4 linked regions of the Schizosaccharomyces pombe genome follow. Changing the gene in region 1 together with any one later gene gives a genetic interaction. Each region holds a gene or a part of one and is shown on either strand. Other genes may lie near its edges.

Region 1 (6,734 bases):
CTAAAGGAAAACGGAAGAGAAAGTTCAATTTAAACGGCAGAAGGAATAACAACGATACTTGGGTATCGCTGAACGCAGAAACGAAAAACGAATATAGCAATTAACGTAAACACGAGAGTCTACTGCAATCAAAATAACAGCAATTGCGCTTTAAACCTACGAGCAAAAAGAAAGAGAAGAAAATATTAAAATAAAAGACCTCAAAAAAAAAAAAAAGCGAAATGCTAACTTCAAAATCAAAATGCAATTTTTAACTCAAATTTGACGCAATTCCCTCGATATTACTTTCTATATGTAGCTCAATTAAAATATAAGAAAATGAGAAATAATATAAGCACAAGGACAAAGGAAACAAAGGAATTGTTCAAATACGGGGTTTCGATGTTGTAGCGTAGGTAAGTTGACTTATCTATCAGCACATTGTTAGGCAATCTATTTATGCAATTATAAATTATTGATTTTTTTAAGGTTTTTCATTTACATAAGTATTTTTTTGAATTTTATTTGTGCAACCATGTTATTAATTATGTCTTTTGAATTTCTTTTCTTATGCAGTTTTGGATTCCTGCGCAGGGTTCCATCGCTTCAGTCATAGTAGTAAAATGAGGTAAATGATTTACGTTGCTTGAAATGTGCAGATCCTACGGATGCGTCATATGGTGCTGGCAAAAGAAAAATGCGAATTTGTAGGTTTAGAGACAGCTTAAATTTTGCTTTCACCGTTTCCATTAATTCTATAAACTTTCATTTTTCATACAGTTGTTTGTCTTTGTATCCACCTGGCTAAATACATTAGAGGTTAAGCGCCAACACTCAGTCATATAAATATTGAATAGTAAGCCGCTAAAGAGAATTCAAGCGACACTACTTGATCAATTTTTAATGAAAGATACCATTATAAATTTAGAAATACAAATAATAATAGTTTTGAAATTTGGTTCTGCTATCAATACCTACGCATTGCACTTTAAAGACAAAGTAATTAGGAAAAAGGTAATGAATATTTTTAATTTAAAAAAAAAAAAAAAAAAAAAAAAAAGAAATTTAGGTATTAAGTAAAGCCATATAGCTTAAAATGCATGGGTATGTAACAGTATTCATATAGATTAGTTGAATTTAGGGGGAAACAACTTTAGAAGAAAGTAGAACATATAAAAACATTAATTAAAATATTTGTTTATTAAAACAATTTACAGCTGCTTTGATACTGCACGGACGATGCTTAAGCTATTTGAAACGTTTAATTAGAAAATTTGCAAAATGCTGCTTGGGAAACTAAGCAAGAAACATCAAAAATTTTTAAAATCGCTTTTAATACTACAATGACAAATTAGAACTGGGTTAAAAATGCTCTCAATTTATTTATTTATTCCGTCCATTTTCATCTCGCTACTAACATTTTTCAAGGATTTAAAAGTTTCACAGTTCTGTTTTTATAAAATATGTATACAGATGACTCTTCAATACCCCTTTGATTTCTTTCAGGTTTACTGATCAGCATTTTTATAAAACTCTCCCAAAACAGAAATTATTATAATAAGAATTTTTTATGATTTAAAAAATTTAATTTCTTTCCTTCCATTTCGAATGATCACAAATTCATGTACACATTTACCCTTGTTAACTTACATTTGGTACTTATTCTAAACTTTTGGGGCGACTGAGTATCACCACACCAGTTTGCCTACCTAAAATTACACACTACATTTTAAACACAAAGCATTTTTTTGCTAATTTATGAGAAATAATACAGCTTTTGAACAATTTACGTTAAATCCATGTGAACAAATACCTTTAGATGACAAACATAACATTGGGTTCAATAAAAATAATACCCCGGACTATTCTTCTTCTGCATCGTCTGACCAATTGTTAAAAAATGATATAAACAGACATGAAATGGAAAGGAGAATTGCTTTTCTTAATCGAAAACAGGCGCTATTCAATGCCTTTATGCATGATTCATCGTCCTCTTTAAATACGATGGAATCTAACATAGAAAAAGTGAATGGCCTTTTTCCTAATGACAATAGTGTGATTGCATTAAAGCCTAATGAAGAGAAGCTGAACAGTTCTCTTTCCGTTGAAAATAATGATTCTACTTACACGGATGCCACTTTAATTGCTCCTAAAATTGGGCTTGATCGTCCAAACATCAATGCAATTACTATTGATGTTGATGGCCACTCTTTGCAAAACGAAATTAGTTCTTCAACAGATAAGCTTAGTCCGAGTCAATCTGATGCACTTTTTGAACAAAAACAGGACTCTTTGTTTTGGAACGACAATGCTGTGATTGTCGTATCTGACTCTGAATCCGATGATAATAATGTTCGGACGAAATCTTCACTGAACGACCATGATAAAGTTAATATGAAGGAAAAAAGGAATTTAGAGCTTGCGTTTATGAATTCGAAAAGGAAAAAACTAGAGTTACCTTCGTTACCAGTTTTATCTACGGCTGGACCTTCTTATACCAATTCTTTAGCTCTTCCTCCTTTTCATCATCATAATAATTATAAGATGTTTAACACAACTCACACTTTAGAAGATGATAAGTTTCTTCAAGGAAAAGGAACTTCTAATAATCCGATCTCTTTATCAGACGAAGAAGATAACGAAATTAATTTTCAGAATAAGCGTTATGGCTCGGATTCAGTCATTCTTCCGGGTGGTTTGTTGCATGATTCCAAGCTACCCGAACCTGGTAAACACTTATTCCACCTTCAATGGTATCACGATAGATTTCACAATATTGAAGGATTCAATTTGTCAGACTCAAATAACCAGAAAGTTCAAGATGATCAGCAACAACAGTTGGAGGAGTTGTTCAAAGATCTTGATGAGCAGCTTGTCAACGATCCAACAATTCGCGAAGGTACACCTGCTGGACTAATACCTACATTAATGGAACACCAAAAGGAAGGACTAATGTGGTTAAAAAGATTAGAAGAAAGCTCTAAGAAAGGAGGGATTTTGGCAGATGATATGGGTCTAGGAAAAACTGTCCAGGCTCTTGCATTGCTAGTAACAAGGCCTCCAGAATCTAAATCAGTTAAAACAACTCTGATTATCACCCCTGTGTCGCTATTACAGCAATGGCATAATGAAATACTTACTAAAATTGCTCCCTCACATAGACCCACTGTTTATATTCATCACGGAAGTTCGAAAAAGCACAAAATTGCTGAACAATTGATGTCGTATGACATTGTTTTGACTACTTATAATGTCATCGCTTACGAGTTTAAAAACAAAATGGCTTATGACAAGAGTATCGAAGATAACGCTCCAATAAAAAAATTTGAACACCTTCCATTTTTTGAAGCAGAGTGGTATCGAGTTATATTGGATGAAGCTCAAACTATCAAAAACAGGAATACGTTAGCTGCTCGTGGATGCTGTCTATTAGAATCAACTTATCGTTGGTGTTTGAGTGGTACCCCTATGCAGAATGGGGTTGAGGAGTTCTACAGCTTGATAAAATTTCTGAGGATTAAACCTTATTCAGACTGGTCAAGTTTTTCAAAGGACTTTACCATTCCTTTAAGTAGCAATATAAACACGTCCGCTCCTATGAAGCGCTTTCGTGGCTTATTAAAAGCAGTGCTACTTCGTAGAACGAAAAATACAAAGATTGATGGCAAGCCAATATTGACACTTCCTCCAAAAACCGCCGTCAAATCTGAAACAGACCTCTCTTCTTCTGAGATGGAATTTTACAATACGCTTCAAAGCGGAGCACAAATTCAAATGCGTAAATATCTTCAAGAAGGGACTATAACTACGCATTACGGTAGTCTACTAGTATTACTTTTGAGACTTCGACAGGCTTGTTGTCATCCCTGGCTAATTGTTGCTCGAGAAGCAGCGGTTGATGATAACGATAGCTTTCAAGCTAAGAATCGTGCAATCTACAACCAAATATATCCCGAGGCTGTCAATCGCCTTAAGTTAATTGAAACGTTGCAATGCTCCTTATGTATGGATGTTGTTGCAGAACTTTTGATAATTGTGCCTTGCGGTCATTTTCTATGTAGAGAGTGCTTAACCCATGTTATTACATCCAGTGAGGATATGGCTAAGCAAACAAGCAACGAAAATATTTCTCCTAAGTGCTCAGTTTGCGAGGAGTACATCGATACTGAAAGGCTTTTGAGTTACGCATTATTTAGACGATATTCTGGAATGGCACCTATTGTCGATGCCGATAACAAATTAAGAACAGAAAACATTTCCGAATTGCTACCTAAACAGTATAGTAATATCTTAGAGAATAGACAAATGGGTATGAAGATCTTTACGGATCCTAAACATTGGACCACTTCTACAAAAATTGAAAAAGCATTAAATGCAGTTAAAGAAATCATCAAGAAACAGCCAACTGACAAAATTTTAATATTTTCACAGTTTGTTTCTTTTCTTGAGCTTTTTACGGTACCCTTTCGACAAGAGGGTATAAAATATCTTATGTATACTGGTGGTCTAAGCACAGCGGAAAGAAATCAAGCTCTTATTAATTTTGAAGTTGATCCGAACGTGAGAGTTTTACTGATCTCTTTAAAAGCAGGAAATGTCGGGTTAAACTTGACTTGTGCAAATCATGTCATCATACTCGATCCATTTTGGAATCCTTATATCGAAGAACAGGCTGTCGATCGAGCACATAGAATTGGACAAGATAAACCGGTAAATATTTTACGAATTGTTACTAATAACACGATTGAAGAGCGAGTTTTAGCCTTACAAGACAGAAAGAGAGAACTAATAGATAGCGCTTTAGGGGAAAAAGGGCTTAGAGAAATTTCACGTCTGAATACAAAGGAGTTGTCATTTTTATTTGGAATGTCATCACGATAATAGAAATTTAACAGGCTTATTAAAACCAATATGTATTATATAATATGTTTTCATGAATAGAAATAAAAAACGTCGCACATCTTTATTTTTCAAGTTCTCCAACTACAATTCCATTCTCAGCAGCTTTCAAGACACCATGTAAGATAGCTCTTCCTTGAGAAAGTTCCATAATACAAGAGGTACCGGAAAAATTTAAATCATTCTCCTTTCCCCACCGATTTGCTACAAGAACGATTGCATCCGTATTCGAATTTATTAACGGTGAAAGTCTAGTGGTCCAGTAATGTAAATTTTTGATGTCGGGCAGGGAAGCATCAATGACTTTATCATCTGACACAAGCCATGCCATACTTAAACAAATAATTGGTCGTGATACATTCGAAGAAACCATTTGTTGATGCTCTAGCTCACGCAAAATGAAGTTTGCATATTCAAACTTCTCAAAAGGAGCTTTAAAATCATACGGGTTAATGTCCATACAAATTGCCATTGAAATAGGGCCCAGTTCAGGAATACAGGGTTCAAAAGAGAAACCCTTGCCTTCAGTGGCCCATGATTTGTCTGTTTCAAAAAGAAAGTGCTTGTGGTAAACGTTCAACAACTCTTTTTTGGGAGAAATGAGAGCTGTACTATTGTAAAGAGTAGAAATGCCGTTTGAGTTTTGAAACTCAGGAAATCCAATGATGGTGTAGCACCGATATTGCTCAGAGACTTCTTGAGCAAATTGAATGCTTGGACAATGATTGCTAGTTACGTTTTCTAAAAAGGGTTGTATACTTTCTGAATTTTTAAAATTGTAGCCTACAGGAAAGTTAGCTAACTCTTCTTAATAATAAAGACCACCCACCAGTTAAGCACATTTCAGGGAAAACCAATAGCTTAACAGACTGTAATGCTTCAGAATGTTGATCCAAAAGCTGGCGAAGATGAACGATGTTTTCGTTCACCTTTCCCAACTTGGGAAAAAATTGTACACATCCAAACTTCATTAGTACTGTCGTTGCTGTTTAAAAGGATGCACTAGTAGTACAAACAAATTTTAAATTGAGAAGTGTTGACCGTTTTTATGACATCGAAGTGGCAAACTCTTAAACAAGTCCTTAGCGAGGCTTTTTTTTACCAATTCGATAGATAAATGGAATTAGAATTTTATCTCTTGTATATAAAAGACCGACAAGAAACTGGCCAAATCACCATTTCCTAGACAAAAACTGACTTAAGCAAATTTAAAGACGTATGCCGTTCCACTAGATTACTGCTATGTAGGATGATTGCACTTTACGAAGTCGCTCAGATATACAATATTTCGATACTTCAATGAAATTTACTGGGTTTTAATACACTGGTTTAAACTTCAAAATTATTTTGCTGCTGTCAAACATTTGTAAACTGCAAAAATTTCTCTCTTAATTTATAGTATTATGAAACCGAAACCAACCAAACTATTTATAATCCCAAGATAATTGAGAATTGATGAATACAACCCTAAAGGTCATTGATGAGAAGACCCATTATGGATTGCAATCAACATGATCGTCTTTTCCTTTTTTTTTGGCAGGGATTAGACGAAAGCGTATATATTCATAACGAATCAATAATTATTTTTTTTAGAATGAAAAATTTAGAAAACGAAAGATTCCGTTTAAAACTCAGCCTGTGAAAAACGGACCCACAACCTCTACAATCCTTATGTAAGGTAATCTTGGAGGGATTCATTCTCACCGAGACGGTCATCTATTATCCGCACGAGCTCAGCCGTAGCAGTTTCAACCTGATCATCATCATCTTCCATTAGTTCAGCAATAAATGGTACTGATTGAGGCAATGTAGAAATCCAATTCTCACCAAGGCGCCCGTAAAGCTGTGTCTGTATT
Region 2 (5,865 bases), on another chromosome or scaffold:
GTACTGAAATTGAGAATCTGGATTGCTCTCTAAAAATAATTACATACAAATTTTAGGGCAATTGGCTGATTATTGATTAAATTTACACCTTGAAATAACATGCCAAAAGATCCTTCTCCAATCTTTTTACCAACGCGGTAATGAACACCAACGACGTTGGAGTGAGACGAAGTAGTTGACATGATGGTCTTTTAAATATTCCACTATGTTAAATGCAGTTTTCTTTAAAATGTTTTTGATTAAAAGAGCGTTCCGGTTTGTTAAATGTTGATGTCTTTCGCACTCGAAAGTTAAAGATGGTTACGGGTAGAAAAATGAAGTAGATGCCGCTAAAATCCACAAAGATTCCATGAAAAACACAAAGAAAGTGACAGTTCAATTATTTCGTTTACAGTTGACAACCTCAGAGGAATCCGAGGCAGCCAACACTGTACTTGGTAGTGGACAAGTAAGCAGTACTGGGTTTTCCACCGATATACCAAGCTAGCGTAGTATAAGGTTGGAAAGCTGAAAATAGATATAATGGTATACTTTCTAGTTTGAGTTAGTGGTAAACAAAATTTTATTTTAGATTCATTAGCTAACAAAATTGACAATGATCAAGGGACTCGGATGAAACCTATCTAACCAAAATTCTTTTATTATCTAATGGGTTTGTATGATTAAGATAAAGGTTAAATCGTATCGCAACTTAAACACATACTAATATAGCAAGTATTTAAATTAGTTTTTGTAAGATAATGATCCAACTTTACGCTTTCACGATTAAGTACTTTGGTAACTTCAGTCACATCTCCAAAGCGAGCGGGTGGGTAAATAGAAATGAGATTTTGAGGATCATATCCTTCAAACTTACAAGAAGAAAGCGAACCAGGTCGGATAAGTCCTTCATGAAAAAGTCCGTTTATGGTCACAGCCTCTAGAGTCCGATATAGTGCTGACATTCGGAATTGGGTTTCTATAATTGCATCGTTTTTACCCTGGGTATCCAAAACTTGGATCCAGTTGTCATGTAAAACAGCTCGTCTCCAAATGGTATTTTCATAAAATCTCTTGGCATCGTCCGTTAATCTGGTGGTTAAAAGAAGACGCAAAGCAAGATAATAGTCGGTAACTTCACCTTCTACAAGGTCCTCTCGACGGTATAAAGAAAAGCTGAGGTACTCCAACAGTTCAGTTGCTTCAACCACCTGTCCGGCAATGAACTTTTTGACTACGCGCTGCATAACCTGACGAGCGATAACAGGCGCTACCTTGGCACCAATCAAATCATCCACAACAGCTTCTACAAGCTGGTATTTTTTCCCCTGAGAACGAAGCCGTTCAACGACTGGCATAACACTTTTGGAAACCATTTTTTGAATATGTAGTTGCTCAAGCTTTTGTTCCACTAAAACCAAATCTCTGATATTTCCAGAGTTGGATGGAACTGCATAAAGAAATAATTTACTTAATGAAAGCTCAGATTCCTTTTTATCAACCAGCTTTTCTTGTTTAGTAGCCAACTGTAGCAATCTATGCGACGCAGCATCGTAGTCTCCTAACCTCATATCATGCATCCATGAAATCTGGTTGTAATCTCGAGATTTAAAAAATTGTTTCAAATAAGATTTGTTGAACCTGTCGCTATTAAGCAACTCTAATGCCATGCCATTTTCAACAAAATAGTCATATAATATAAATGCGAATTTTATACCAAAAAGATCAAGGTAATTGTTTAGTGCATCCGTGAGCTCATTGTCCTCATAAAGTTGATAGCACAATTCTACTAAAGAACGATAGTCTGAGTATTTTTCAGCGATTCGAATGGCACTGCTGCCTTTACCTATATCTGATAAAGTTTGAACCCAAAATCTGCGATTAACTGCAAAAGCTTCCTTGACATCTTGAATTTCACTAGCATCCTTACCACAACGTTGTTCTATCCATCTAATCCTTTCTGAGTACGCGTCAAAGCAAACCTCTGTCAAGGCCACTAATTGTACTTCTAAATTTGAAACGACATTTCTTAGCACCCCTTTATCCTTTATTTTAAAAGTATTCTCCACATCCGAGGTTCCTTGATGTGACTGGACAAGCGCTGACCGAGTAAGTTCAAACTGTCGACACAGCAAAACTAAAGTTTCTGGCGTTGACGTCCAAGGAACCTCTTCTCCAAAGGTATCAATACTTAGCTTATAAATCTTCTGGGACTCACGGCGATAAGCCAAAGCCGAAGATTGAATTGCCAGAATTACTTCATTAGCTTCCATAATTACATCAAGAACTTCCAATGGAAGTTCTTGAACTCGAGAACCTGAATCTATGCAAAATTCATGTGCTTGCGCTATCAGTTGATCAATGCTTTCAATATTATGCAAAAACCACTCTCTCAAAGCGTTATCCGACGAAGCACTTTGAGTGAGTCTATAAATTATGCGTTGAAAAATTAGGGAATGACTAACAGTACTAAATTCAGTATCGATAGTATTCCATAAATATCTAACAGAATTGCATTTTTCGCCCATTACTCTCAACTTGTATAGTACTTGACGATCAACATCCAGTGACATAGACCTAATATACCGGACAAGATTATTCAAAGAATTTAACCTACAGGACAGATGCTGCATTAAAGAAGCAAATAATGGGGGTAAATGAGTAGACCTTGAATTCAAGATGTCCATTCCAAGATCGACAATAATCCTTTCGAGTTCAGGCTTTTTGATGGAGCGAAGGTAATTGCAGGAAAAATCGATCGGATTACCAGGAAGGAAGGAGTAAAAAACAGCTTCTTCCAACTTGCTTTTTACGAGAGATTCGTTATTTGCAGGATGCTCCAAACTATGAACTTCTATTTCAGCGATACCAGAATAAGGGGTTGCTATAAAACATGATTCCGTAGGAATAGAGTATTTTCCTAAAACGTATTTGTAGCAAGTAGACATAAATATGCCGCCAGAGACATTAGTATTCATACGAATAACCTCTTCCCATGATGTTCTCGATACAATATCTTTATCATCCTCTTGGACGTGCACTATAATAACAGCGTCTGTTAAAACCACAAATAAAGAATTCCCTGATGATGAATAATGTAGCTTTGAAGACTCAAGAGATTTAGAAGAAAATGAATACAATGGATGAATATTCATTACCGAGGGTGAGGAAATGTCAGAAAAATCAAGAGAAATAATCATGTAACGGTAATTAATAGAATTTTTCCAACATACTAAAAAACTCACTAGATTTCCGTTTGTGGGGCATATAGTAAGGTCTAACACCTCAAGTCCGCTTGCATCGGGGCATCCTTCTCTCAAAACCTGCTTAAAAATAGGAGACAGATTCATACCAGAAACAAGCTTATTTTCCAACTTCAAATCATATATCTCTAGTAAACCAGATGCCTCAGCGACATACAAAAGATGTTGGTATGGAGAGAACAGTGGTGGGGATTTTAAAGCAATGATATGAATGCTAGGGTAGTTAAAAATCTTCATTTTCTGAAGAATAGTAGAAAAAGTACTAATATCGGAAGCAAATAATTGTACAGAAACGTCAGGTTGACCTGCAGGATCGCGCAGTTGAACAGAAAAAAGACGACCAAAATTGGTAGATATGATGAACTTCATGGGGTTTGAGCAACATAAATGCTCACATTTTTCTTTGGGGAGTAACTTTATCAAACTTTCCATTCCCTGGGGACATATATAAGATTGAGCGAGAGCATTCCCAATTGAAGTCCAATATGCTATACGACCAGAGATAGGCATTACAATCAGCAATCCAGGTTCTTTGTCAGAAGCATCAGAAGGGACGAAGGCTGTCAAGGCATTTTGCCCGGAAAAGCCATTTGAGTCCTCTTCAGGTAGCGGAAATGTTATAGTTGGAGGTTCTGCTGTTCCCAAGCTTTGACGATACGACAAAATAAAGCAAGCTTTTCGGGAATTAATTAATGCATAACCGATGTCTGTGTAGCATGATCCACTTAAAGGATGGTCTAAATTGAATAGAGATGTTAGTTACCTAGTAATGCGCACAGTGAAGAAATAAAAGCTTCGTACCGTTGATAATTTTAGAATTAAAATGTTTAAGTAGACACGAGACCTTGAAATTTTTAGATCTGAGCCAATCCAATGAATTATTATAGGCAGTGCTATCCAAAAGCGATTTCTCAACAGAAATTCGTTTCAAAGGGCTAAAAGATACGACTTCTTCATTTTTCCTTTTACCAAGGATAGAACTCATGACTATTTGACGATATCAGTACTGATACTGGCGGTTATCGTCTATTTGACTCCTTAATACCCTTAGGGATAGAATATGGCTCTGAGAAGGACGAATGTCGACGATTCCTACAAAGAAGGGTTTGAAATCAAAAGAACTTTACTTAGACTCCTATTTTTTACTCAGAATTAAATAGTTAAGCTACTGATAAGAAATTCAGAGTAAAATCAATATATCAATATTTCAAAATCGGTGTATATGTCATATACACTTTTTTCACAAATGTCAACACAGTTTGCTCTTTTGTAATTAATTATTTCTTTGCTTTGGTATATTTAAGGAAGTGATACTTAGGATATTGTCTTTTCCCGGAATGTTGTATAAAACAGAGGTTTTTAAAAAGTAGTTGCGTTCTTCAAGGTCAAGCTTAAACTACTTTTTTAGAACGCATGATCAATTTATATAAATGTTTCATGATTCCGTATTTGAATTTTTTTTATGAGCACGCCAATGGTTGGAAACATCAGATTTCTTCGTAAAATCGCACATCTGGTACAGAAAACTATAAAAGTAGTAGAAAGTTTGGGACTGGGTTGGAAACAACTGTAATAAAGAGAAAAACGCGAAAATACTTTATTTTGAAGTGTCTGAACTGCCGAATCGGAAAGCTATTTTTCATTAGTGTTGTAAATTATCCGAAGGACTGAAAAAGACCAAATTTTACAAGAAAAATAAAATTATTGTATTTTAAGATTTACTTTTGTGATCAATATTCAGGCTAATATCACTTAAGAGTTAAAAAGTTATCTAACTTGATGGCACGAATAAAAAAAATTTTTACTCAGGAAGAATTAAAACAAATCCCCTGTCCATATGATCACAAGCATACAATTGTGCGACATCGTTTAGAATATCATTTGAAGCGTTGTAACGCGCGTCCTGTTGAAAGGACCGATCCATATTACAAGAAGGACATAAATATCTCTACTTCAACAGATGCTTCAGAATCTTCCTCCTTTGAAATCGTCGATTTAAGCAAGGAAGAGTTGTCAAAATGGATTTGTTTGTTCAACAGAATTAGTGATTCTTTACCGACTCCTCAAAAAAAGGTGTTGTTTCACCCGGCAATGAATGCAAGACTGTATGTACGAAGTGCTTTCTCATTAGCTTTTTATTAAGAAGATGGTTGCAAAAGTAGAAACTAACTTCATTTTTAACAGTGAAGAGGGTACAAAAAAAAAGCATGCAATTCAGCAGGTATGTTCGACATGATTTCTTAACGGCAGTCAAAAGCATTAACCATTTTAGGCATCATTGTTAGGACATATGGAAAAACTACATTATTTTGACAACCAAGGATCTATATATTACGAATTCGGTGCTGGAAGAGCCGAGTTATCAAGATATGTTCAGCACTGCTCCCAACAAGAAAACGTATATATACTTATTGATCGTGATTCAAATCGAACGAAGCATGATAGCAGGATATTAAAAGATAGCATCAAAAATAACTGGCCTGAGCCAAAAATTATAAGGTGTAAAATTGATATTAAGGATTTGAAACTCGATTTTTTTGCTAGTGAATTTCGGAATAGTGGTAAACCTGTATTTGCATATTCTAAGCATTTATGTGGTGCTGCCACAGACCTTACCTTGAAT
Region 3 (4,672 bases), 1.5 Mb from region 1:
TCACGTTCAACAAGGTGGTAACCCCACTCCTATGGACCGTGCTCGTGCTGCTCGTCTGGCTATGCGTGCCATTCGTTTCTTCGAAACTTGCCGTGCCAACGACTTGGGTAATGACCCCAGCTCTGCCGTTGTCATCGGTATCCGTGGTACTGGTGTCTCTTTCAGCTCTGTTGCTGATGTTGAGAACAACGAAACCGAAATTGAGATGCGTCGTCCTAAGAACGCTTGGTGGCGTGATATGCACAACTTGGTTAACATCTTGGCCGGCAAGACCTTTGCTGATTAAATAAATGGCTAGATTACGGTTTGGGTTATCCTTGTGGTGGTTTCTGTTTTGATCCTGGAACTCTTTTCTCAACGTTCGTATGAAATTGGTCCTAACAGTTACTTTAGAGTTAGAGATGTAAGTTTTTATCCTACGACTTTTTAATTATTTGGTCACTTGAGAATCGATTTCGCTAGGTCTTTTTTTTGAGTTATATATGTTTACTTGAGTGAAATAACTATTTTCGACAGAGATTATTATAGACTGATTATTATTTTTCTATAACGATAATAGGTTTTTAATATTTGATTTTGACCGACATGAAAAGCTAGCGTTGACATGTAAGATTTTAGTAAGATATCTAGTATTGAGTGCAGTAAATATCCAAATGGTTTATTTACATAGTGTGTATTTTCGCTTGCTTTTTCGATTTTGCTTCTTGAGTAAGTGTATCGTTAGATGGTCGACGTTTGAGTTGTTTGTTATGACTGCTAGTTTTAGAATCGACAATAATGTCATATTCATCAAGATTAATAACGATTCTTTCCGACGAAGAGAAGTCATTAACTTCATTAATCTCGTCGGTTAAAACTTGTGAATCTTCTGGCGAATTTGAAGGAGGTTGCTGTTTAAGAGGAATGCTGGTAGCATTTGAAAGTATTTGGTAAGGTAATCCTTCGGTGGAATTAGAATCAATGAATGTAACTTCAATTAACAAGGGAACCCTAGTAGCTTCCTCGCCATCATCATCCTTTTCGACAGCAGAATCACCAAGAACTGTGAGAATAGTATTTTTGGCAGGATTTATACCCAAATCATCAAAAGTTTTATCCAAGTTATCATCAAAGTCAGGATCATATATCAGCTTATCGTTTAAAACGCTAACCTCTTCTGAGTAATGCAAACGACTTTTCAAAATATCATCAACAAGAACTCTTAGAGTCATATTTTTGTCATTTACTCCAAGCTGTAAAAGTACAAAAGAACAAGTAGGACAGTAAGGGTTAGGTTTACAAGTTTTCTCGCAATGGAGTACTCTGGTAGGCCTTTTAGCCAAGTATATCTTAAATTGTTAGCAAATACAGCTGAAACCTAATAACTTACATTTTTTAGATCATTGAGATCTCCTTGAAGAACCTTGATAGCTTGCGTGATACATAGTCCAGCTATGACTGCATTTGTGGTTGCGATAGCAGGAATAATATTGCCAGCCATTTGTTTAATGTCAAATTCAGAGAGTTGTTGAATTCCAAATACATGGGCACGCAAATTAGCTGCCGCTGCTACAAAATCCAATGTATCCTTATCATCCTTGTCAAAAGAAAGATCGTCTTTTGAGGATTTAGACCTTAAAGCAAGGCGTCTAATGCTATCTCTGAGAACTGCAAAACTTTCAGCAACATTCCAAACATTTTGTTCATTAAGCCAAGGTGAAGTGGCTTTTTCGGCATTCTCTAAAAGTTCCGAGTATGAAAGTTCTTTTGGAGGAGAACGATATGTCCATGCGTCAGGGACTTCGCGGAGTCGAACTATGTCTTTAGTAAACATTTTCGTAAATATTTTTTCAAAACCATTGTCACTTTGACCAATTGACGACCTAAGCTCGTTTAGCTCAGTTGTTTCTCTAGCTAGTTCTGCGATTTCACGTCTCTCCATTTCGTTTGCAGAAACATTGTCAATGATTCCATCACTTTCTTGATCATTACTAAAAAGTTGGGGGAAGAAATAACTTTTTGCCCAAACTACACAATGAATCGGTTGACTTGGTGTGCTTCGAATGGTACAAACCGGATAAGTTTTAGGAGGCTCTTTGGGATTACAGTCGTAACATTCAGTTTTGCCATGAATGATAACCTGTACCTGGCCAAGAAATCCGGTTGTTCCACTTTCAATCAAAGGTACAGAAGCAAGTAAGCATTGTTTATTCACATGTCTACGAGCATCCAAGTTATCTAGTGCGTTAAAAACAAGATCAAATTGACGAAACCAAGCAACATTAAATCGGTCTTCTTTTATATTTGCATGATAAGCTTCAAGCTTTACATTTGGGTTAAATGAGCTTGCGGTTTTTGCAGCAACGATTGCCTTAGGTTGTTTGACATGCTTTTTACGAAAAAGAAATTGTCTGTTAAGATTAGACAAATCAATAGTATCAAGATCGATCTACAGTATAAGAGTTAATAAATCGCGATAAAAACATGTAGACGAAACGTTTCTTAAGGTTTAAAAAATTTAAATATACAACTCACTTACTATATGAACTTCTTTAACTCCTGACATAAGAAGGTTCTTTAACAATTCACACCCAATTCCACCCGCTCCAACTAAAAGGACCTGACCAATTGTTAAAACCCACCAGTTTTTCTATTACATACCTTGGCAGACTTGAAATTTCGTAAGGCCTCCACAAATGTCAATGGTTTCATATCGTTGCTGAGTTGCATTAGGGTTGGCATGTTAGCAATCGATTCTAATTATGGGCTTAAAAGAAGCGAGAAAAACAATCCCATACAAATAGAATAAATAGCAAGTTCGCCAGCTATTATTAATTTTGAAGTCCCTGCGCGATAAAACTAGAGCATTAATTTATTACACTAAGTTACCTTATTTAATTTTTCTATCCTACAAAAAATTACTTTCATTAGAACTCACAATAAAATAAATAAAGAATAGAGAAGTGCATACTACAAAATATAAAATTGAGTATTCTTTCACTTTGGGCTTGTTGGACAACATATTCGTAGTTACTAATGCCTGTCAAAAAAACGATAAACTTTTTTTTAACAATTGATTTCACATTTTGCTAATGTACTATTTCTTCAAAATCGTGGTAAAAATGTATTTTAACCACAAACATGCGAGTGATAAACAACTTACAAAAGCTTCAGGGCTAAATTTTAAATTGTAAGCAAAATAAATAAAACTGAAACTGGGTTGTATTTCTATGTAAGTGAACCACAACTTATCATATTAGTGAATGCAGAAACATTTTTTTCGTTCTGCAAATTAAGAGTCTTAGGCATTCTCATGCAATAGCACTACGATTTGTTACTGCAGGAAATCCCTTATTAGCGCAAGGCATTCATGTTTAAACAACTCTAATTTTCCAACATTCGTTCACCAGAGATGCGTCGCTTGCCAAGTTGGATCAGATAGAAGGCACTTTCAAGAAAAAAAATAATTCTACGTCTTTTCTTACTCAATTCTATTGCAAAAAAACTCCAAATCCTGGCTCTTAAAAGTATAGTAACAGAATATAGCTAGGCAGAAATGTATGGTAACATGTTACCTTTCAGTAGTGTATTATCAACACCAAATGTATGAGAGGTAGTCTGAGTTCAACGTCTACACTTCGTACAAAATGGTTTCAAGATGGGAGAAATTGAAGAATAATCCTCAAGTAAGATTTTGAAAAAACATTTGGCTGGGCAGGTGTTAACATGATAGACTAAATCAATCGGTATCTCTATCTTCTTGATGATGATCACCAGGGTAATTGATTTCTCAAGACCCTCATTACTTTGGCCTTTGAGGATTCTATACGCTACAGTGAATATAGTTCAAATAGGAATTTTCCTCTACACGAAGATTATTATCGAAAAGAAAAACGGTACGTTGGTTTGGAAGATTGGTTGTTTCGTCTTTCTTAATAAAATGGGTAGATAAACGAATTCAATCTACCATGGTTCATCTATTCTCTAACAATTCTAGATTTAACTGTTTTAAAATATGTTGAACCCGCTACTCCCATGTCTGGACGTGAACATTCAAAATTTGTCGCTACCACCGTGCGTGATTACGATTTGAGCAAACTCTTGACATCTTTTAAACAAATGCTCGTGACAATTGCTACCACTTTGTTCATGCATTTATATATGGGCTACGCTCCTCCTCTTCTCTTACAGTCTGTATCTGCTGCTAGAGGTCTGTTTGATAACAGTGAAGTGCAGATTCACGTTCAAAATAAGCCTGCTATTGATGAGTTGAGACGTCCTTTCAAATCATCTGGTGGCCTTCTTGGTAGTTTTGGTCAAGTTTTGACTGATAAAAAAAGTGTGGATGAAGCTGAATTAACCAAACTCAAGCCCACTTAAAAAATGTGTTGTTAAGTTGTCAGGAATTTTTAATAATTTCTCTTCTTCCACAACACACCTCGTGTTTAAAAATTATAGTGATACGAGTTTTTTTTCGTTGTGATAAATACAATTGTTTACTTTGCAAGTCACTAATTGACCATTCCCATACTTTGCTTAAAATGTAATTATTATTAGAATTTACAAACGAAATATGTGAAATATTAATTTATACTTAAAAGAAGCATAGGTTTTTTTTTCTTTGTAAAACATTAAATTATATCGCGTTTCATTAAAAGCTTCTTAGGCCTAGCACTTGGAACATCTTTAAGCT
Region 4 (4,526 bases), 2.6 Mb from region 1:
GAAACGACCATCAGGTGAAATTTTAACCGCAAGGACATCGTCTGTGAAATCTATTTGTCGTGTTTGCTCTAATTTCAACGTGGTGACTTTTCTAGTGGTACCTGGTACGAAATCAAAAGACGATTTTAGAGACCAGAGTTTGACTGTGTGATCGGCAGAGGCAGTCGCGAAGTAAGTGCCATCGTGACCAACCGCTAAATCCCAAATCGCGCCATCGTGAGCTTGGATACGTTCGATAAGAGAAGAGCTAGCAATGTCATAGACTTCAAGTTCTCCTGATTTGTAAGCGGATACGATACACTTGTCGTTATTTATAAAGCTAGCAGCAAGTACATAACCACATTCGATTGTACGGATACAAGATGTGGTTTTCTTGTTCCAAAGCTTCAAAGAGCCGTTAGCACCGCTTAAAATCACATCGTGATTAGCGGACAAAGCCAAGGTACGAACGTCAGCACGATGACCAGGAATTTCAATGGCACTTATACGCGAAGCCCGTTCAGTTAATGGTGCAGCAGAACCTTCAGATTTGACATCCAAAGCGTAAACTTCAATTGAGTTATTTTGAAGAGATGTTACCAACGTAGGTGTACGATTTCCTGGTATCCAAGCTACAGACGAAGCACGAGCAGTGGTTCGAATTAGAGCAAAAGGTTCATATTCGTCTTTTAACGTGATCGAAACGTCCTCAGACTTTTTACGACGGCGTCGTCGATTCAGAATCTTTTCGAGCTCCGCACTTGATCGAAGGCGAAAAACCTCCAGAAGACGGTCATGAGCTTGGAATACAACATAACGGTTTGAAACGTCGTAAGCCAAGGTGATGGGACGGTCACGGCTTTGACGGGTAAAGGTACCTAATTGCTGAAATGCTTTAGTAGTTGGAGTGAAATTATTGTCATCTGGAAAACTGATTTCCCAAACTTTAACATCAGAACCGGTACCAGCAGTGAGGCACCGTTTGGCGTCTGGTGAAACACACATAGCCCAAATTTCGCCTTGGTGGTCGACATGAGTCTCAACGCAATGCTGAATAGACAAATCCCAAAGCTTCATAAAAGAATCTTTGCCAACAGACAAAAGAAACGAATCAGACGATTTACTGTCAACGTCCATGTCGCCGGAATCAATATCTGTGTCCACCACTGTTTCTTCAGCTGTATTCTTCGAAGGAGGTGTAATGAACAAAAGCTTGGTAATTTGGTCCTTGTGTCCACGTAGTCTAAACAAGCCGGTTTCAGCTACAATATCCCATACAATAATGTCGGTATCCATGCTTCCACTGGCCAATCTTGTGCCCATTTTATCAAAATCCATGGTAGTAACAGCACTTTTATGACCATTAAGAGTTATTAAGAGCTCTCCATCTTTCCAAAGACGTATAGAACCATCTGCATAGCCCACAGCGTACATTTCATCAAAGTTTGCAATACAAGTAACTTTTGCCGAACAATCAGAATCCTTCCATTTTGATAGTAATTGCCCAGTCTTTAAATCCCATTCCAAAACAGACTCAAGACCGCCAACAATGGCTCTGCCTACAGATTTAGCAGACGAAGAGGGTTGACCGAGAATATTACATCCCGAAGACGCAATGACACCAAAAAATTCGGTTGGTTCGTACCGCGTATAGCTTTTGACCATTGCGTCTACCCAGACCTAGATTAAAAAAAAGGCGTTGGTTGATGCTAAGTATATACACTCCTCTAATATTCAACAATTTGGAAAAGAAATAGCGATATACATTGTTATCGTTTTTTTATTTTAGCATTCCTTAATGCACTCCATAATACATTTTTGCATAGTTTATGGAATACTCATAATAATGTCGGTTGCGCAGTTTAATGAACTGCATTGAAAAGATTATTGATACACAATTAAGTTTTACCAGCTTTTCTGTTCTCTTTTCTTATTTGAAATACCGCTTGCGCTATTGAATGTGCTCATGAAAAAGGTCATAAATATTAATTAGACTAGCATCTTACAACATTGTGGTAGTGAGCCAATTTTTCCATGTAGACTTCAAAAATCATAGGTCTACTAAATTTAATTTTAAACTTGTTGGCAAGTTGCCAAAATAATTGCTGTTTGCGTATATTGACGTTAACACAATTCTCTTTTATTATTCTAGCAAGCCTGAAAAGCATTTGACAATCGATTAGGATACGATCAAAATTATCCTAATATTAGCCCATTAATCAATAATCTATAAACTATTTTCGAATTTCAGGACCAATTGGCAAAAAAATGCCACCCGCACATAAGAGAGATACCAACGTTAGAAACTTATCTGCACCATACAATATCCCATCTCAATCCGCTAGAGTCGCAGCTGGAAATGCAGCAATAAATAGGAGACGTTCTTCTCCAGTAGAGAATTCGCCAGGAAACGGATTTCCGGTTTCAGAAGATGCAACAGACTATCCTTCAGGCACTACCTCTGAGAATGAGTCTTTACCACTGAATCGTGCACCAAGGTCGCTAAGAGAGGTTGCTTCGGAGCTAGCACAAGAAGAAACACTACCTGTTGAAACCTCTGATTTAAACATAGATGTGGAAAGTGAAGTATTCGACTTGGAAGACATTAATTTTCAGAATGATGCTGATGACATAAATCAAAGATTCACCTACAACAATCATCCAGCTTCCGTTGAAAACAGTTTAACAAATGTTAATAGTATTCACGCGCAACCTACTACTATAAGCGATATGATTGATTTAACTGATGAGACTTCCTATGATCCAAGAAAACAAAAATTTGAACAGGGAAAGAACCCATCGACCACCAACGCCGAAATTGAAAAAGAAGAACCTAGCAAAAAACAGGTTGTTCCATCTTCACAACGACTAGCTGATTATAAGTGTGTAATTTGTCTGGATAGTCCGGAAAACCTATCTTGTACTCCCTGTGGGCATATATTTTGCAATTTTTGTATACTAAGTGCTTTAGGTACAACGGCTGCCACACAAAAATGTCCGGTGTGCAGAAGAAAAGTACATCCAAACAAAGTTATATGTTTGGAAATGATGCTCGGATCTCAAAAAAAGAAATCTTAACCGTACAAAATTCCGTATATACATATTAAGAATGTTAATGAAAGATGTGTGATGCACTGCTCAATGCTTTTTGCGGTTTATACACATCAAAATTGAGAATTGATTAAGAGCAAGTTATGCTAGTCATTACAAATTTTCAGTCCTTTGAATTTGCTCTCCAATCTGAGTCCCAGATAAAGAACCTGCATTGGAACGGTTGAGTATCTTCCTCAGAAACTGCATTTGAGTTTTTAATCAGTTCACCAACCGGTCTGGCACAAATCCAAAACTTCCGCCCGTAATTGATTCCCGGCTTCCTCACTGTCAAATACTTGCAAGGTTCCTTGTGACCCTCACAAAGTGGAGGAGCTCGTTCACTGAATATTTGCTTCCAGGCGTTCCCGTTTTCTACTTTTTTTTTTACTGTCAACCCTATGTCAGATTCATTATTGTTATCAAGGACCTCAATCGAAACGTCTTCTGTTTTATTGGTTTCTTCTTTCTCTTCCTTTTGCTTCGCAAAAAATGAAAGAAGCTTCGATTGTTCTTTTCGTCTTCTCTTTTCCGGTGGGTAGGCATCGACGTCTATGACAGAGTTTGCACGAGAAACAGTTGGTGAGGAGCCGCTGGACGCAGAAGCAGATACGTTTTCGCTCTGAGTGGGTGAGTTGTTTTTATTCTTTTTCATCGAATTGAAATGTTGGAACATTGAATGAATATTTTTTGATGGCCGATAGGCTGAATGATGCGCCGTTGATAGTAAAGGTGGTTCTTTTGAGTGACTTAGAAAGTTGGACAACTTTTTTCCTTCATATTCTTCTTTTAAATCTAAATATACGGGGCAATGATCTGAACCCATGACCTCAGCCATAATATCTGCATCTTGAACCCAAGGTAATAAATCGGGTGTTGCCAAAGTGTAATCAATTCTCGTACCTATCCATTGTAAAAAAAATAACAATTCAGAACTTACCATAATTTGTGGGCCTTGTATTAAGTCTTGTATTCCAACATGTAAACATTCCTTTCCGAGTAGGATGTTGAATACGGCCAATGTCCAACAGTAGTCCCAACCTGCTTGGTAGTAATAAATCACGTATCCATTGTCTTGATTCCATGATGCTTGGAATAAGACTCTCTCGAATAATGTCTTTTTGATCAGCAGTGTCAATAGGATTACACAAAATATTCACATCCCCAACGAGAATGATTTTTCGATTTCCTTCCTTTATCAATCTTTCAATTCTTTCTCGTAAGGCTTTATAAAAGGCCCGTCGATATTCTAGTCTATTTTCTCCAGAGTTTACTGGACAGTAAACACCGATTAGGATGAACATCTGAAAATCTAATAATATACACCTTCCTTCACTATCAATCCAATTAGCAGTTTTTCTGTCAATGTCTTTTGGGAAAAATCCTATCTTTTCATGCTCCGGTGCTTCTGAATATGAATATTTTTGTCCTCGTACTGGCAGGATGCCAGTAATTCC

Evidence for each region.
Region 2: of rrp2 (region 1) and nup132, changing one suppresses a phenotype caused by changing the other (phenotypic suppression), as found in Schizosaccharomyces pombe (one study listed by BioGRID).
Region 3: of rrp2 (region 1) and uba2, changing one suppresses a phenotype caused by changing the other (phenotypic suppression), as found in Schizosaccharomyces pombe (one study listed by BioGRID).
Region 4: of rrp2 (region 1) and slx8, a mutation in one rescues a mutant of the other (synthetic rescue), as found in Schizosaccharomyces pombe (3 studies listed by BioGRID, with this or other methods).

Annotation. Positions count from the first base shown.
Region 1 is NC_003423.3:3,837,900-3,844,633, forward strand, and holds rrp2 (DNA translocase/ SUMO-targeted ubiquitin ligase E3), read left to right. Parts: upstream 1-1,669; 5' UTR 1,670-1,737; coding exon 1,738-4,860; 3' UTR 4,861-4,942; coding exon of another isoform or gene 4,943-5,661; 3' UTR 5,662-5,707; coding exon of another isoform or gene 5,708-5,849; 3' UTR 5,850-6,206; downstream 6,207-6,734. Other genes in the region: protein N-terminal amidase nta1, read right to left, coding at 4,943-5,661, 5,708-5,849; U3 snoRNP-associated protein Utp10, read right to left, coding at 6,548-6,734.
Region 2 is NC_003424.3:2,775,733-2,781,597, reverse strand, and holds nup132 (nucleoporin, WD repeat Nup132), read right to left. Parts: upstream 4,311-5,865; 5' UTR 4,228-4,310; coding exon 4,044-4,227; exon of another isoform or gene 3,988-4,043; intron 3,980-3,987; coding exon 675-3,979; 3' UTR 545-674; downstream 1-544. Other genes in the region: serine/threonine protein kinase (CK1 family) Cki3, read right to left, coding at 48-182; tRNA 2'-O-methyltransferase Trm13, read left to right, coding at 5,022-5,347, 5,427-5,463, 5,515-5,865. UniProt on the Schizosaccharomyces pombe protein: Functions as a component of the nuclear pore complex (NPC).
Region 3 is NC_003423.3:2,293,080-2,297,751, reverse strand, and holds uba2 (SUMO E1-like activator enzyme Uba2), read right to left. Parts: upstream 2,819-4,672; 5' UTR 2,722-2,818; coding exon 2,641-2,721; exon of another isoform or gene 2,600-2,640; coding exon 2,519-2,599; exon of another isoform or gene 2,429-2,518; coding exon 1,370-2,428; exon of another isoform or gene 1,329-1,369; coding exon 663-1,328; 3' UTR 511-662; downstream 1-510. Other genes in the region: pfk1 (6-phosphofructokinase), read left to right, coding at 1-286; snd301 (pho88 family protein), read left to right, coding at 3,627-3,665, 3,713-3,875, 3,977-4,359; cyclophilin family peptidyl-prolyl cis-trans isomerase Cyp7, read right to left, coding at 4,611-4,672.
Region 4 is NC_003423.3:1,287,682-1,292,207, reverse strand, and holds slx8 (SUMO-targeted ubiquitin-protein ligase E3 Slx8), read left to right. Parts: upstream 1-1,996; 5' UTR 1,997-2,247; coding exon 2,248-3,057; 3' UTR 3,058-3,193; coding exon of another isoform or gene 3,194-3,972; 3' UTR 3,973-4,009; downstream 4,010-4,526. Other genes in the region: U3 snoRNA associated protein Dip2, read right to left, coding at 1-1,644; AP-endonuclease Apn2, read right to left, coding at 3,194-3,972, 4,010-4,526. UniProt on the Schizosaccharomyces pombe protein: Mediates ubiquitination and subsequent desumoylation/degradation of sumoylated proteins and proteins containing SUMO-like domains. Acts as a critical suppressor of gross chromosomal rearrangements (GCRs) during normal cell cycle progression.